Linked DNA regions of Saccharomyces cerevisiae S288C. Changing the gene in region 1 together with any one later gene gives a genetic interaction. Each region holds a gene or a part of one and is shown on either strand. Other genes may lie near its edges.

Region 1 (5,285 bases):
TACGTGCAATGTGCTTGTATGTAAATAAGTGTGCATTATATGTTTATTAAAAATTAAGAATTAGATTGATTTAATGTTTCGAAAAAAAAAATATTTAGTCATTTCACCATGTTGGATGGGAATTCGTGTGTTGTTATTGGAATGATTCTTCCTTTTTGGAGAGGAAAATAGTCAAAAGAACACGAAATAATATGAAAAAAATTTTCCATATGAATTTGCATCCAATCAAGCAAAAGATCGGCCTACTTCTGATATGTGGATATGTTTGTTTGTGTGTGTGTGTGTGTGTGTGTGTGATAAAATTGACAGATATGATGCCACTTAGTCTAAAAACTTGTGTGTAAACTTTAAAACTGTAACATCATATCGAAGGTATCAAACAGAGCACAATTGAAGAGGCATTAATTTGATTTTTGTTGACCGTGTTCTTTTATAACGTCTTGGCTTCCTTGGTATCGACAAATTGAAATGAAAATGAGGAATAACAAAAAGGAGATCAATAAGAAAAAAAATCAGATGGATGATGTTTAAAATTACTAACTGCTTTTTTCGTGTTGAGTAGAAACTCTTTGCATAGCAGCCATGAAATCTTCGACACTTCTTGTAGACTTCTTTTCCTTTAATGACTTACCATTCATCAACCTATCAAAGGCTTGAGACGTGGACATAATATAGTAAAATCCTCCCAATACACAAAAAATACCAATGGACCAAATCCAGACACGAACGACTGACACAATATCAGTCCAGTTTTCAGACCACCAGCCAAATAAGGTAAACATGGTAGCAATAATATCAACGGCGAAAACGGCACCGGCTAACTGCCACGATGGAATGGAAGACCAGAATGGGCCAGCAGCTCTAGTGACAAAAATTAACCAATTTTCAGTTAGTGAAATCTGCAGGAACATGACACCATTCATGGCACCAAAATTTTGGATAATACCACCATTAGGCAAGAACATGGTGGTTAAAGTAATCCAAGAACCTATAGCTAAAACTATGCCCAAAATAATAGACATACCCCATAATCTTGGTAGGTTCCATTTCACAGGTTCAGGAGCATAAGGAGCATTGTCATAAGCAATAGTTAAAGTGGCAACGTCTGCGAAAATAGCAATAAAAACGATCAAATTGATATCCAAAGAGTTGTTTAAAATAGCAATCCATAAACCCAGGAAAATCTCCAAATGTAAGGATAGGGCAATACGATAAACAACATAGGAGTACATTCTGTGGAAAATCTGTCTAGAAGTCTTTAAGGCATCAATAATAGCAGAGAGACCAGGGGCCAAGAAAACAATATCAGCGGCTGATCTGGCAGCATCGGTAGCACCTTCGACAGCAATACCAGTATCAGCCTTCTTCAAAGATGGGGCATCGTTAACACCATCACCAGTCATAGCAACCAAGTAACCTCTGTTTTGCAAGATTTCAACGACTCTGTATTTATGCTGTGGGAAAACTTCTGCGAAACCATCGGCATTTTCAACAAAATCAGCCAACTCTGAACCAGGCATATCACCTCCACCTCCCAGACCTAACCTTTCTGCGTTATAAATGTTTGTACCAAGTCCTAATTGCCTACACGTTTCTTTCGCGATACCAACAGCGTCACCGGTTAACATCTTGATTCTCAAACCAAGGTTTCTGGCCTCATTGATTGTTTGAGCGGTGTCATCTCTAGGGGGGTCCATACATGGCATAACACCCAAGATTTCCCAGTGACCTTCCCCTCTCTTTCTAGCAACACCTAAAGCACGGAAACCTCTAGAAGCTAGTTCAGCAACCTTATTTTCGTAGTTTTCATGCACATCTTCCGGAATTGGGTGATCTTCTTCAACAGTCTTCAAGACAAACAATGGGGCTCCCTTGACACAAACAATTCTTTCACCTTCTGGGGATTCTACAACAGCGGTAACCTTTTTTGAGACAGGGTCGAACGGATGGAATTCCAAAACTTTGTACTTGGTCAGGGCGTCTTTAGCTTTTGGATACTCAATCAATGACTTCAAAAAAGCCTTATCAATAGCATCCAAACCTTTCTTCTTTCTAGAGGCAGCTAAACAAGCGGTCAACATCAAGTCGTCCGGAGAAACGCCTTCGACAGTGTAGGGTTCGTGTAAAGATAACTTGTTTTTGGTTAAAGTACCAGTCTTGTCAGAACATAAAATCTCAACACCAGCAAGGGATTCAATAGCAGATAACTTTTGAACAATGGCTTGCTTCTTAGCCAAGTAAGCTGCACCGACAGCCATGGTCGTGGTAACAACTGCTGGCAAACCGACTGGGACACCAATGATGGTTATACCCAAAGTATATCTCAAAATGCTTACAATACCGACCGTTCTATAGAAACATGCGGTCCAGACCAACAACAAAGTAGCGATAACTAGAACAAGTAAGATAATACCAATTCCATTCAATACTTCAGTGAAATGGCCCTCTACACCGGAAGCCTGCCCCACTAAGGCGGCAGCCCTACCGACGAAGGTATTGTCACCAGTGGCAGTAACAACCATAAAAGCCTCGCCGGTTTTCACAGTGGATGAGGAGAACACCTCATCACCGTAATGCTTTTCAGCGGCTAAGGATTCACCAGTGATGGCCGATTGATCGATCTGCAAAAAACAGTCTTCAGTGACAATACGACCATCTGCGGGAGCAATTGTGCCACTTTCCAATTGCAAAATCTCACCAGGAACTACCTCATTAGCCGGAATTTCGATCAATTGGCCATCTCTAATAACTGTTGCAGTATTGGCCAACGTCTTTTTCAGCTCGTCTACGATGGAACCTGCCTGGAATTCTTGAATAAATCCGACAGATGCGTTTAATAGCAGTAAAGCACAGATGACACCGACATCAACCCAATCAGACAAACCGGCAGCCAAAATAGCAGCAGCCTCCATAACGAATTGAATAGGCCCTACGAAGAACATCAAAAACTTCACAATCAACGATTCATTCTCCTCAGCCATTTGATTTAACCCATATTTCTTTCTTCTCCTGGCGACTTCATCCGAAGTCAAACCATACGCAGGGTCCGTAGAAAGGTCCTTTTCAGGAACAACCCTTTGGCCAGCGTGCACCCCATCAGTACGTACTTCTTCTTCACCAGATTCATCACCCTCACCGTAGTTAGATTGTAGTTCATCAATCAATTGGTCTATATCTTCATCTGAGTCAGAATCATCAGCGGCAGAAGCGGCTGCGGCCTTCCGTGGAACGGCTGCAGCCGATGACGAGGCGGAAGTTGATGTAGAAGACGAAGATGACGAAGAAGCGGCAGAATTATTTGCAGGGTCATCGCCATCACTGGCATGGAGGTACTCTTTCGAGGGTTTCTCCTTGTATTGCTTTGCTTCAGTGGAAGACATAACGCAAAACAGTTTCCTTTTGCTTAAATTGTACTAGCACACAGCAACGAAAAATGAAAAAAAAAAAGTTATGGGTATGTTTAAAAAAGCCCAGTAGCTTGGATACAGTAGGTTATCCAGCAAGAAATGCTGGAAGAAATAATAGATGGTAAAAGAGGATATTACACACCTTTATATAACGAAGTACCATCACACCGCCAATTACGTTTAGGGGACGCCGACAAGAAGTAAATTCACTATTATGTACTTACAAATATGTTTCCACCGATAACCTTTCCCCCTTCGACGGTTATTTGAGCAGCGTCTGTCCGCCATTTTTCCAGAGAAGCTACTTCATCAATCAATTGACTTCGCAATTCCCTTAAACAAAAAAAATTTCTTTTGCCCTCCCTCGACGATTTTGGAGTAGAGAATACCTTAGGCCTTTTTTTTTCTTTTTTCTCACGGCTGCTCTTCCTCTTTTTCGCATATTCTATTTTATCATCGACTTCCCTAATTCGCACTCGTACCAAAATGTTAAGCAGTATGGCGAAGAACGTGGCGCGCTGGAGTCGTGAATGTTTGGGTCCTTGATGATGGACTACGGTAGTAAGTATGTAGTAGTTGCAACTTCATATGTTCACTTCTGATCCAAGGAAGAGCGGTTATGAATTAATCTCTTGGCATGAGCGGACGGGTAAGGGGACACCGCCTTTTCTTCGATGGGAATCAGGGTAATGGTATATGATGGATTATTGTGGAATCATTTAGTACGGCAGATGTTGAAAAAAAAAGCAGAAAATTTTTGAATTTTTTTCGTTGACATTGGAAGATTTCGTAGTGGAAACAGCTGCAATTGCTTGTTAAGTAGTAACCCCTCCTTTGTCACAAGAGAGCGAATATTCTTTCTAGGGAGGTTTAAGAATAGAACATCTCACACCAGACGCGACTCATAATTCATAATGCCAATTGACCAAGAAAAATTAGCTAAGCTACAAAAGTTGTCTGCTAACAACAAAGTTGGTGGTACTAGAAGAAAGCTTAACAAGAAGGCAGGCTCTTCTGCCGGTGCCAACAAGGATGACACCAAGTTGCAAAGTCAATTAGCTAAGTTGCACGCTGTCACCATTGACAACGTCGCCGAAGCCAACTTTTTCAAGGACGACGGTAAGGTCATGCACTTCAACAAGGTCGGTGTCCAAGTTGCTGCTCAACACAACACTTCTGTATTCTACGGTCTACCACAGGAAAAGAACTTGCAAGATTTGTTCCCAGGTATTATCTCTCAATTGGGCCCTGAAGCCATCCAAGCCTTGTCTCAATTGGCTGCCCAAATGGAAAAGCACGAAGCCAAGGCTCCAGCTGATGCTGAAAAGAAGGATGAAGCTATTCCAGAGTTAGTTGAAGGTCAAACTTTTGATGCTGACGTCGAATAAATAACTTAATCTTTAATTTTAACGTTAAATAAAAAAACACATATTTTGTTCCATTTTTTTTCATTTTTTTTAGCATATCTAAAGCATATAATACAAACACTGTTTTCTGCAAAAAAAAAAAAATAAAAAATAAAATATAAAAAAACAATATACCACACTATGCTGCACACGTGAAATGATGAACTTGTACGTCACCACTTTGTGCGCAAAAAATTGGCAAAAGTAGAGAACATGTCACTAACTGTATCGGAATATTACAACGTTTTTTTATTCTACTTATCTCAATGGCTAAAGTATATATCTATCTATATATGTATGTGTAGGTGTGCTGATGGAGACAAATACGTTTTCCTCTAGCCTTACAACAGGCCGGTACCATTCTTTATCGCATCCTTGATGAGCTCATCTACATCAACGTCTGAACCTTCACTTAGTTTCTTTCTGTTTCTTTGACAGGTCAGTGTGTTAGAATGTCTTTTTAGAGCATCCT
Region 2 (3,195 bases), on another chromosome or scaffold:
ATGATGATGTTAGAGAATTCTTTCTGAAAGCCTTCATATGTTTAATCTTGGATAGAAAGGTTTTTAACGCTATGGAATCGGACCATAGACTGTGTTTTAAGGTCCTGGAATTATTTAATGAGGCACATTTCATAAATTCATATTTCGAAATTGTGGACAAGAACGACTTTTTTTTACATTATAGGCTACTACAAATCTTCCCTCATTTACAAAGCGCCTTGCTCAGGAGACGCTTTAGTGAAAAGCAAGGTCGGACTGAAACTATACAGCAAAATATAATCAAAGAGTTTAACGAATTTTTTGATTGTAAAAACTATAAAAATCTACTATATTTTATTTTAACGATGTATGGCTCGAAATTTATTCCTTTTGGTCCCAAATGTCAAGTAACAGAATATTTCAAAGATTGTATTTTGGATATTTCTAATGAAACGACAAATGATGTTGAAATTTCTATCCTGAAGGGAATATTAAATTTGTTTTCTAAAATCAGGTAACAGTCATGATGACTGAACATTGATCTGTTGATTTGACCAGTTGACTGCTTCCCCTTCCTCTTCCAACTCTTCCATTTCCTTTATGGCAATAGAGGATGGACGGTAAACTTCAACGTCCATTATCAATGGAATCTCAAGGATATCTTTCAATATGGAAAATTGTTGCTTATTTTTGTGGTCCTTAGTAACAATATTTTCTGACTCATATTGGTAATCCTCTATCAAATGGATAACATGGCCCATCCCCATGCTCAACGCGCTCCGCACATTGCTTTCGTTGTCATCAATAAACCAGGCATTTGCAAAGCTCGACAACCCACTTTGCAATTTAGCTGTTTCGAAGAATTTTGGATCTGGCTTGCAAATGAATTCTTCCTCGATGGGTCTGTCGTAGTGGCAATAGGTTATGCCGTCAAATAGATCAGCAATACCTAATATTTTAACACATCTGATGGCATGATTTTTGTACGAGTTTGTAAACAGCCATAGTTTGTCAAATTTGCCGAGCTTCTTTTTCTTTAAATTGATCAGCAGCTCCCTTAACTTCCAATCAGGCTTTAAATAGTCTTGCAAAGGTAAGGAATCATCGATGAATGTATTATATTGTAGGACGTCATCAATTTGTTTATTCTTTATTAAACCTTTCACGGATAATCCATATTCTTGATAATACGATTCGATTAGGCGTTCTGCCTCATCGTCGTCAAACCCCAATTCGTATTTAAAGAAATTTGATAATGATTGTTGCATGAGCAATTGTACCTTCGTAGATTTTCTGTACAAAGTGTTATCGATATCAAAGAAAAATACTTTTCGAGCAGGATCCGGATCCGGTAATTTGGGAGGATCCACCTCGAAATTGATTTGTGAGCCTAGATGTGTCAAGCTTTGCAAATGCTCCTGATTTAGTCGTATCTGCTTTTTGATTTGGTTTCTATAAATTGTTCTGTAATCTTTAGCGATAGTCATGATTACGTGCGTATAAAACTTATGTGTTTTTTATCTACATTAAATCTTTTACCAACTATGCGTTAAACCGAGTTCGTATATACATATATATATATATATATATATAAACATATATTTCTATACATGTACGAATGTATTACATATGCTAAATGTATGTATATACATTATATGCACATCTCCTAATAATGAGCCATTTCAGTATTGCGGCAAATACGGAAAAACCCGCAGAAACGATCGTACAGATCCAAGAACTTGGTTTGTATGTGAAGCACGTTGCTGCCCCCTTTTTTTCTCAACCATCTCCGGCGGCGACCGCCGGCTTTTTTCTTTCTTTTTCTGGAAAAAGAAAAACCCCCTATATCACCTTTGACGTTTACTCACTAAATACGAAATGCATTACCCTAATCTCACTTTAAACGAATGAAAAAAGAAAGGTGAGGGGGGAGACCGATGGAAAAAAAAATAAAAATTTTTTTCTTTTTTTTTTTCTTCGTTCACCTCATCTCAATTAATGGCTTTTCCTTGACGTAGTTCAGGTAACTTGGTAGTGATTCTCTTATAAAAAAAAATATTATCATATTTAACATGTTAGTGCCCGTGTAGTTTTTCTTCTTCTTTCTTAACTTTTTTCTTGCAAAAATTGTTTTCTTCCCCTCAGTGCTACAAACAGTAACTTGACAGAACCAAATATGCCACCAGTATCTGCGTCAAAGGCCAAGAGAGATGCTAAGAAAGCTGAAAGAGAGGCTAAGAAAGCCGCTGCCGGTAAAACCATCAGAAAGCTAGGTAGAAAAAAGGAGGCTGCTGCTGAAGAATCGGAGGTAGATGCAGCCGCTAGAGAAATCAAGATGATGAAGTTGCAACAAGATAAGGATGGTCTTTCAGATCGTGTTGTCACTGGTGTTTTGAGTTCATTGGAGACTTCCCGTGATATCAAGCTATCTTCTGTTTCTTTACTGTTCCACGGTAAAGTTTTGATCCAAGATTCTGGTTTAGAATTAAACTACGGCCGTAGATATGGTCTTCTGGGAGAAAATGGTTGTGGTAAGTCAACATTCTTAAAGGCTCTTGCTACTAGAGAATATCCTATTCCTGAGCATATTGATATTTATTTATTGGACGAACCTGCGGAACCAAGTGAATTGTCGGCCTTGGACTACGTTGTCACTGAAGCTCAACACGAATTGAAAAGAATAGAAGACTTAGTCGAAAAGACTATCTTGGAAGATGGTCCTGAGTCCGAGTTATTAGAGCCTCTATATGAAAGAATGGACTCTTTGGATCCAGACACCTTTGAATCTAGAGCTGCTATCATTTTGATCGGTCTAGGTTTCAACAAGAAGACCATTTTGAAGAAAACCAAAGATATGTCTGGTGGATGGAAAATGCGTGTTGCGTTGGCAAAAGCTCTTTTCGTTAAGCCAACTCTATTATTGTTGGATGATCCTACTGCGCATCTGGATTTGGAAGCTTGTGTTTGGTTAGAAGAATATTTGAAGAGATTTGACAGAACTTTAGTTTTGGTGTCCCACTCTCAAGATTTCTTGAACGGTGTTTGTACCAATATGATTGACATGAGAGCTCAAAAACTAACTGCTTACGGTGGTAACTATGATTCTTATCACAAGACAAGATCCGAATTGGAAACCAATCAAATGAAACAATACAATAAACAACAAGAGGAAATCCAACATATTAAAAAATTCATTGCATCTGCTGGTACTTATGC
Region 3 (5,105 bases), on another chromosome or scaffold:
CGACATTGTTTTCCCTGCACCAAAGGGTAAGAGACCTGTTGAGTTCTCCACTGGTCCTCATGCTCCATACACTCACTGGAAGCAAACAATATTTTATTTCCCTGATGATCTAGATGCTGAAACTGGTGACACCATTGAAGGTGAATTGGTTTGCTCTCCAAACGAGAAGAATAACAGAGATCTAAATATCAAAATTTCTTACAAGTTCGAATCGAATGGCATCGACGGTAATTCAAGAAGCAGAAAAAACGAAGGTTCTTATTTAATGCATTAAGACTTTTGTTTGCTGGAGAAAGAAAAAAATTTGAAAAGCAAATAAACAAACTTGTTCATATTATTGACGCGAATATGTGTACTTTGTTACCCTTTTTTGTTGGTCGTGTACCAAAATTAGTTTAGATATATGACTTTGCATGTCCTTGTACTATAGTTTTTAAAAGAAAAAATCTACTTATCTATCCTTCATTAGGATGCTATTTTTCACCTTGTTATCATGAATATTAGTTAAAGAAGCAACAGCAACAACCCAATTCTGAATCATCCATCAATTTCCAACCTATGTCGGCAAACTTTTTCAATATCTTTTTGTTTTCTTCCTCCGATGGCGCAACGTTTGAGGCGTTACTAGCTGCACATTTTCCGGAATACATGCTCTTCATTACCGATTCGTAGCATCCGGTACTACTTGTAGCACTTACATAGTAACGCTTAGCACGGTCATGTGCATTCTTCCTAAAAGGTTCTAGGGTATTAAATAGTGCGGTTATTTGCACCAATTCGTTCAGCGCAGTTGACAACGTCATAATTCTGTCATTTATTCCCTTGGCCATATTTCCATTACGGATGTATAAACTTATTAATGTGGTAGGTATGGGTCCTATCAAACTAATGATATTATAGCATTCTTCCACCATTGGCAGCATGAAAATAGAAACAGTTCCCATCAAGTCTTTGGTTGTGCAACGTGTATTTTCTTCACTGGCAAGATTTGACGTAATACTTTGTGTTGGCGACATTAATTCTTCTTCACTGTCCTGAGCAAAATAGGCGTTCGGAAGGGGCTTTGAATCCAAATCAACAGAGTTTTCTGCGTTCATATTAGTAATTGAATCTAATATGCCTGATACCAGAGTGATCATTGAGCAGACTAGCTCTCCGATATTTTTCATTTCAGCATCCGAATTGCAGCAATTTTCTAGAATATGGTCATTTTTCTGTTCAATATTTAGTAATTTTCTGATTAAAATTTCCTTTTTCTTCAAAAGGGTCTCAAATTTGCCAGCTATATTATCATGTTCCCCTTTTTCAACAGCGAACTCTCCGTAATCCGTTTGATTTGTGAACAGCAAGTGGTGAGGTACATTTACTTGCAATGATTTTCTGTTAAGGACAAAATATGTTATAAATTCACCAAGTTTAAGGTTTCGTAGAATGTTATCCAAAGCTACGGGAGCTTTTTCGACGACTTGGTTATGACCTGTTTTATCGCTAAAATATGTTTCAATGGCGCTACCAAAATTTAGATTAATTAATTTTGGTTGACCTAGCCGAAAGCTTTGTAGCGTATCCAGAATGTTTAAAAGGATGTACAACCTTTTGAACAACACAGCATAATCCAGTATCTCGTCACCACTTTCCTCGTTTGAATTTAATAATAGCATTGGGGACGTATTTTGAAAAGGTAGAAATAACTTATGAGCTTGAAATTCGTTAAAAACCCCAACAGAGGGGCCTAGCAAAAGCGAGCTTTCCTCACCGGCCAATATTAAGATAAAATTTAACACTATTATTGTCGAAAAGTAAATGAACTTTATTCTTGAAGGAATAACACTGGAATTTTGTTTTAATACGGGTTTTATAGTTATTAAACTTTGGAAGCAGTCGGCTATACATTTGTTGAAATTCTGAATGTAATACAGACCTTTTTGAAAATCGCATAAACTGTCACGAGACCATGATTTTGTTGATTTCGATGACCTTCTTTGTTTTATTTTGCAAAATACCAATACCTCTAGCGCGGTTTTAAAACACTGGATAATTTCATTGTTAATTTGTCTGATCTCATCAATCACGTTTGGCTTTTCAGGATCAAGCATGTCAGTAAATTTACTTTTGTTAATTGGTATTACAGGAAAATTAATATGGAAAAAGTTATAGTAGATGCCTAAAACCTTGTAGAACGAGGTTGCATCAAACTGTCTGTAGGTTCCAAGCATAAGTGGTTTAGCACTGGCTTCCTGATTCAAGGAAACATTTTTTTCAGTGCTAGGATGAGAAGGATTCGACGATCGATATACAGGCTTCCAAGTCGAATTTTTGTCCCATTTGTCACTTCTACCATCTGTGCCTAATTTTTTGTTCGGAAATCCCGCAGTTAACGAGTTTAATCGTTCCTTTTCAATGGAACGTACACTATTGGGAGTAAGCATGCATTGGTTTTTACCTTGCGTATTACCTTCTGAAGTTGTAGCCTCACTTGTATAGGAAAGGCTGCTTAGCCTGGATCTCCCAGAGATAAAAGGGTTAATGTACGGGCTAGCGCGCTGTTCTTGAATTGGAAGAGATTGTGAACCCTGACGACGAACGTTAGATGAACATGCGCCCATTTCCTCCACGGGCGTTATCATTCCTTTCGCTACAATATCCTTCCCCTCTTGCCTGACATTTAAGTTTTCATCTAAGCGATAGTTTCCCCCAAATTCGGTAGATATCGATGAATCGCTGCCTAATATTGCCAGAGAGCTCCTACGCTTGATGTCATCGTACGGCACCTTTACAAATTGTTGCGATTGAGCAGTTATCGAGGGAACAAATAGACTGCTTATGGAAGGAAAAGAGGAATTCCTGGCGAGTGATGGTAAGTAGTTATTTCCCGAGTTCATTGGGTATGAATGTGTTCTTGGTCGGTATTGAAGAGGATCATTATCCGAGCTGAATTTTTCAATGGATACTACACTGCCCCTTTTTTTTGCAGGACCACGTTTCAATGGAACTCTAATAAATTGACACTTTTCACCGACTTCTAAGCACCCTTGACATACGCCGGTATGTTTATCAAACCTGCACTTGATTCTTTTCCTTCTACATTGGTCACAAGCGTGAGAGGCTTTCTTCCTTTGCTTCGTGCCCTTTTCACTTCCTCTTTCACAATTCCTCGAAGAAACTGACTGATTTACTTCGCCCATTGACGCTGAATTGCGTTTGCGTTCGTGAGGGTCGCGAATAGGTGTACCATATAAATTAGGAACATGGTGTGACATTTTTGAAAGATTATTCTATTGTTATGTATTTCTACGTAGCGGGCTACAGCTACGAAAGGTTCCAAAGCTATAAAGCAGAATCTTAATCTTATAGAGACAAATTTTGCTAGCGTGACTCTTTATTACTCCAGTCGTGCTTGTTGCAAAAACACATACAGATACTGGCATGGAGTGTTGTTTAACCAATGATTTTCACTGTAGTTTAAGTTAACGGACTGCTCGAAACCGAGTTTCGTAGCCGCGTCAAAAAGATAAAATTGAGCGGAACCGGGGTAATTACTAGCGTGGGGGAGCAGCACCTGCATACTACCAATTGGTTGAGAAGTATCAAAGGGGTATATTCCTTTGTCTACACGAAGTAGTTCCAGGCACAAATCTCCTTTCTCCCTCAGTAGGTTGCTCAATGTGATACGTATGATTACCATTGCCTTCCTGAAGTAACAAACGCTGAAGAAATCTTGTATGTAACCTTCGGTCTGGACTCAATGCGGGGAAAACTGTAAATGTTCCTATAAGAGCATATCGTAAAACTGATCGAACATCAACATATATACATTAAACATAACGAACAAATATCCAAAAAAAAGAATAATTTTAAGTTCAAGAGGCAGTCGTTACCGCTTTAAAGGTATTAAAGGCTTATGTATGTATATAAAAAATAAAAGAATATTTTTAATGTACTAATAAGTTTAATCGTGTTTCAAAGTTTCGGTGAAAACAGCAGCTGGCTTGGTACCAGTCTTTTCAGCCTTCTTGGAACCTAGCTTTTCAGCAGCAAAGACCTTGGCGTAAGGGTTCAATCTCAACAAGACTTGCTTGTTCTTCAATGGGTTCTTCTTCAAAACGTGAGTACGCTTTTGAGTAGCTTGGCCAGCTGGTCTGATAGCAGATTGGATTTCGGAAGAGTTGATAATTCTGGTGACATCAGAAGTGGAGATGATATGGGATGGCAAAGTGTAGCCGACCTTGGAGGAGGCAACGGTTTCGGAACCCCAGACTTGGTCCAACTTGGTGAAAGCAGCTTCGGTCCAGATAACGAATCTACCCAAGTGAGCACCTGGAGCCAATTGCAACAAGTTCAAAGAAGCAACGTTGGCAGTTTCAACACCTGGAACGTTTCTCAAGGCCTTGACGATACCGTTGTCTTCAGCGTAGACAACTAATGGACCTCTTCTTTGAGTCCATCTTCTGTTTCTGTACTTACCCTTACCGGCTCTCAATTTCTTGGACTTCAAGACCTTCAACAAGTCGGAGTGAGCACCAACAGCCTTCAAAGCAGCAACAGCTTCCTTGGTCTTTTGAATAGATTCCAAGTCAGTGGAGACAACCAATGGGATTTCTGGAATCTTTTCGACTCTGTGACCTCTGGCCAAGACCAAAGAGGCAACAGCAGTAGCAGCAATAGCAGAAGCAGTGGCGTAACGCTTTTCGTTGTGGTTAACCTTAACGTTCCACTTTCTCCAGGTCTTAGTTGGAGCAAACATACGACCACCACGACACATGTTACCGAAGGCACCTTGACCGGATCTACCGGTACCACCACCACCAACTCTTGGAATACGAGCGACGGCACGACCGGTACCCCAGGATTCAGCGGAGGTTTGGTGACCAGCCTTTTCAGAAACAGCGTAAGCTTGTCTCTTGTTCTTGTTCACAGAGGTGAAAACAGTGTGGACAATGTCTGGACGGATAGGAGCGGAGAAGACAGCTGGCAATGGCAAGGCATTGGCAGTAGCTTCACCAGTCAAAGAGTGAACAGTAACTTGTGGACGGGACATTTCGATGATTGTTCTTGGGATATTGCTAAATTACAAGAAAAGTGATGAAAAGTACAAGTTGCGAGGC
Region 4 (2,995 bases), on another chromosome or scaffold:
TGTGGAGCGATGAAAAAGACAAAACCGGGTTCAGCTTTCAATTTTTGGCCATCTGCTTTAATGTAACCATTACCTTTTGTAGTGATTAAGATACTTGGACCATCAACACCTTCAAAATGCCTTTGACCAAGTTTCTCATCAAAAGTAGTCTCCAATACAGCAAATTCTTCGATTGGAGGGTTATATAAAACTGACTTACCGTTACCAGAGGACCTGTCGAACTTTAAAGGCTGCATTTTTTGCTTTTCCACAGGATCATATGTATAGGTTAACATGGAGACCAAGTTTTTAACATCCTTGAATTTTGGAGTGAAGCCTGCTCTAACTACGTTGTCAGAAGCAGCCATACATTCCATAATATCACCGCTTATATAGGCGTGAGGATCCTTAGCTCTTAAAAAGATGGCTTCACCAGCATTCAATCTGCAGTGATTCAACAATAAACATCCACAAAACAAACCCACGTCATCAGGGAACTGTTTATTCAGTCTTTGAATTAATTCTGGTAAATCAGGTTTGTTAAAGTCTGATGGAGAATTCTTTGATCTTTCGACCAAGGAGCGAGCTTGAATCTTGATTTTGTCATCCGAAGCGTTCATGACCCTGCTGAAAACAGCTTGCAATAGCTTTTTGTTTTGCTCATCTTCTGGGGAACCTTTCTGAGCAGAAGGTTGAATGTTCTCAATAAAATTCCTGGAAGTTTCTTCACCAACAATGTTGCGTAATTCAGGAATACGTTTCAATTCATCTGCAATCTCTTGCAAAGGTTTGAACCCGCAGAAACCTTCAAAGTCAGTCACAGCGATGGCCATTTCAGGTTTGTGATTATCATCAGGATAGTTCTTAGGATCTTGAGCGTGCAATATTTTACCCAAGGCTTTGTCGGGATGTGCTTGAATAGACAAGACTTTTTCAATGGACAAAACTTTGAAAAGGAAGGGCAATTCATTTGTGGCGTGGAACTTATCAATAATGTCCTTACCTAACATGGCAGAGGGGTTCTTGGAGATGATATCTCTCAGGGATTCCTTAGACTCATGGTTGTAGGAAGGCATCTTGCTGTGGGTACCCATCCATAACTCTGCATATGGTTTATCTTGTTCAATTTGAACAGAGGGGTCAGAATGGGCAGCAAATTGAGCGACAGCTGAAGAAGAGCCGATTTTACCCCAGTCGTATTGTTGGTAGCCTACATAGAGTCGTACGCGTTAGTTAGTGTACCAAAAAAAAAAAAAAAAAATACTCAAAGTATTCAAAATATTTGACGAAAAATGGCACATACCTGCATCTAACCTGAACAGCTTGTTGGACATGTTTTAAAATTTTCTGGTCTGATGTTCTTTACGTGTTTAGTGTTGAATGATTACAAGAAACAAACATTTTATACAGAAATATACTAAGATTGCGACGTGTATATTTAAATACGTAAATCGCGGCGAAAAAGGACACGGACGCGACAAAAAATTGCTACAATAACCAAGCAGCACGAAATGGATAGTGCACCACGAGACTTGGCATGATCAAAGTGCAAAAGAAAGCAGAATAACAAATTACTCCCGCAAAGTACTAGCTATATCAGGGAACGACTTTATTGGCATCTTGTTGTAGCAAGGTTTTCATGATTCTCATCCTTGCGCTTGTCGCGCGGCACGATGCCAGTGCGGAGTTTCCGCGATATGATGTAACTGCAGCTGTTGGTGGCGAACTTTGCATAAGATCGACCTCCTACTGATGAGAAAGATAGGATGGATTATATAGAAGAGCACAAGCAACGATGAATGGGTTGGTATTAGGCGCTACAGGTTTATGCGGAGGCGGGTTTCTGAGGCACGCACAGGAGGCACCCCAGTTCTCTAAGGTATACGCGATCTTGAGAAGGGAATTGCCCTTTCCGGCCACTGATAAAGTTGTGGCCATAGTAGAAAGGGATAATTCAAAGTGGTCACAATTGATCACCAATGAAATGAATCCGCAGGTGCTATTCACCGCACTGGCAACGACAAGGGCAGCTGCAGGCGGTTTGGACAAGCAATACAAGATCGATCATGATTTAAACTTACAATTGGCCCAGGCTGCCAAGGAAAAAGGATGTGAAACGATCGTTCTCGTTTCTTCCGCTGGTGCTCATCCGGACTCCAGGTTCGGCTACATGAAGATGAAGGGCGAGATTGAACGCGATGTTATCGCTCTTGATTTTAAGCACATTATAATTTTGCGCCCAGGCCCTCTCCTTGGTGAACGGACAAATTCTAAACAAAGCGGATTTGGCGGCAATCTGACTGCTGCTTTGGGCACTCGCGTGTACCGTTCTAGATTCCAGAGGTTGCTAGGCTATCCAGTTTATGGCGATGAGGTAGGAAAAGTTGGTGTTCATTTGGCGTTGAATACTTCTGGGAAAGACAAGGTTCAGTTTGTCTCCAGCAAGGACATTCTTGACATCTCAGCTTCTCTGGAGAAGATTGCTACCTAAATCAACCAACGGCTTCTTCTCGCAGCTACAGTTGTATTTTACTGTGACGTACTTTTGCGCGCGTACGGGTTCAATGAATTACGGATTTTCAACAACTTCACACAATCATAGCTTTTTTTACTTTTTCGCCTCATTATTTTCTTTAAAGAAACGATGATAAACAGAGATTTATCGTCATGTTATTTCGTTCGTATATATCGTATTTGCGTTTTAGCTGTATAAAGTAAAATACTATATCTAACGTGGCTTTTTTTATTTCCCCGTCTGCCCTCTTATGCTCATAGAAAACACTAATGATCGGTTTGGTATCGTCATAGATGCAGGGTCTTCGGGTTCGAGAATCCATGTGTTTAAGTGGCAGGACACGGAATCGCTTCTTCATGCAACAAACCAGGACTCACAGTCCATATTACAATCAGTACCTCATATTCATCAAGAAAAAGACTGGACTTTTAAGCTGAATCCAGGCTTGTCGAGTTTTGAAAAAAAACCTCAAGATGCGTACAAATCTCACATCAAGCCGTT

Evidence for each region.
Region 2: mutations in PMA2 (region 1) and PHM8 together harm fitness more than expected from each alone (negative genetic interaction), as found in Saccharomyces cerevisiae (2 studies listed by BioGRID).
Region 3: mutations in PMA2 (region 1) and EDS1 together harm fitness more than expected from each alone (negative genetic interaction), as found in Saccharomyces cerevisiae (2 studies listed by BioGRID).
Region 4: mutations in PMA2 (region 1) and FMP52 together harm fitness more than expected from each alone (negative genetic interaction), as found in Saccharomyces cerevisiae (2 studies listed by BioGRID).

Annotation. Positions count from the first base shown.
Region 1 is NC_001148.4:480,938-486,222, reverse strand, and holds PMA2 (H(+)-exporting P2-type ATPase PMA2), read right to left. Parts: upstream 3,381-5,285; coding exon 537-3,380; downstream 1-536. Other genes in the region: EGD1 (Egd1p), read left to right, coding at 4,322-4,795; MET31 (Met31p), read right to left, coding at 5,155-5,285. UniProt on the Saccharomyces cerevisiae protein: The plasma membrane ATPase of plants and fungi is a hydrogen ion pump. The proton gradient it generates drives the active transport of nutrients by H(+)-symport. The resulting external acidification and/or internal alkinization may mediate growth responses.
Region 2 is NC_001137.3:224,160-227,354, reverse strand, and holds PHM8 (bifunctional nucleotidase/lysophosphatidic acid phosphatase), read right to left. Parts: upstream 1,467-3,195; coding exon 501-1,466; downstream 1-500. Other genes in the region: Smc5-Smc6 complex subunit KRE29, read left to right, coding at 1-497; ATP-binding cassette family ATPase ARB1, read left to right, coding at 2,156-3,195. UniProt on the Saccharomyces cerevisiae protein: May be involved in phosphate metabolism.
Region 3 is NC_001134.8:300,099-305,203, reverse strand, and holds EDS1 (Eds1p), read right to left. Parts: upstream 3,261-5,105; coding exon 501-3,260; downstream 1-500. Other genes in the region: protein-arginine omega-N methyltransferase HMT1, read left to right, coding at 1-274; YBR032W (uncharacterized protein), read right to left, coding at 3,383-3,685; 60S ribosomal protein uL4 RPL4A, read right to left, coding at 3,950-5,038.
Region 4 is NC_001137.3:157,806-160,800, forward strand, and holds FMP52 (Fmp52p), read left to right. Parts: upstream 1-1,774; coding exon 1,775-2,470; downstream 2,471-2,995. Other genes in the region: mannose-6-phosphate isomerase PMI40, read right to left, coding at 1-1,189, 1,283-1,313; YND1 (apyrase), read left to right, coding at 2,745-2,995.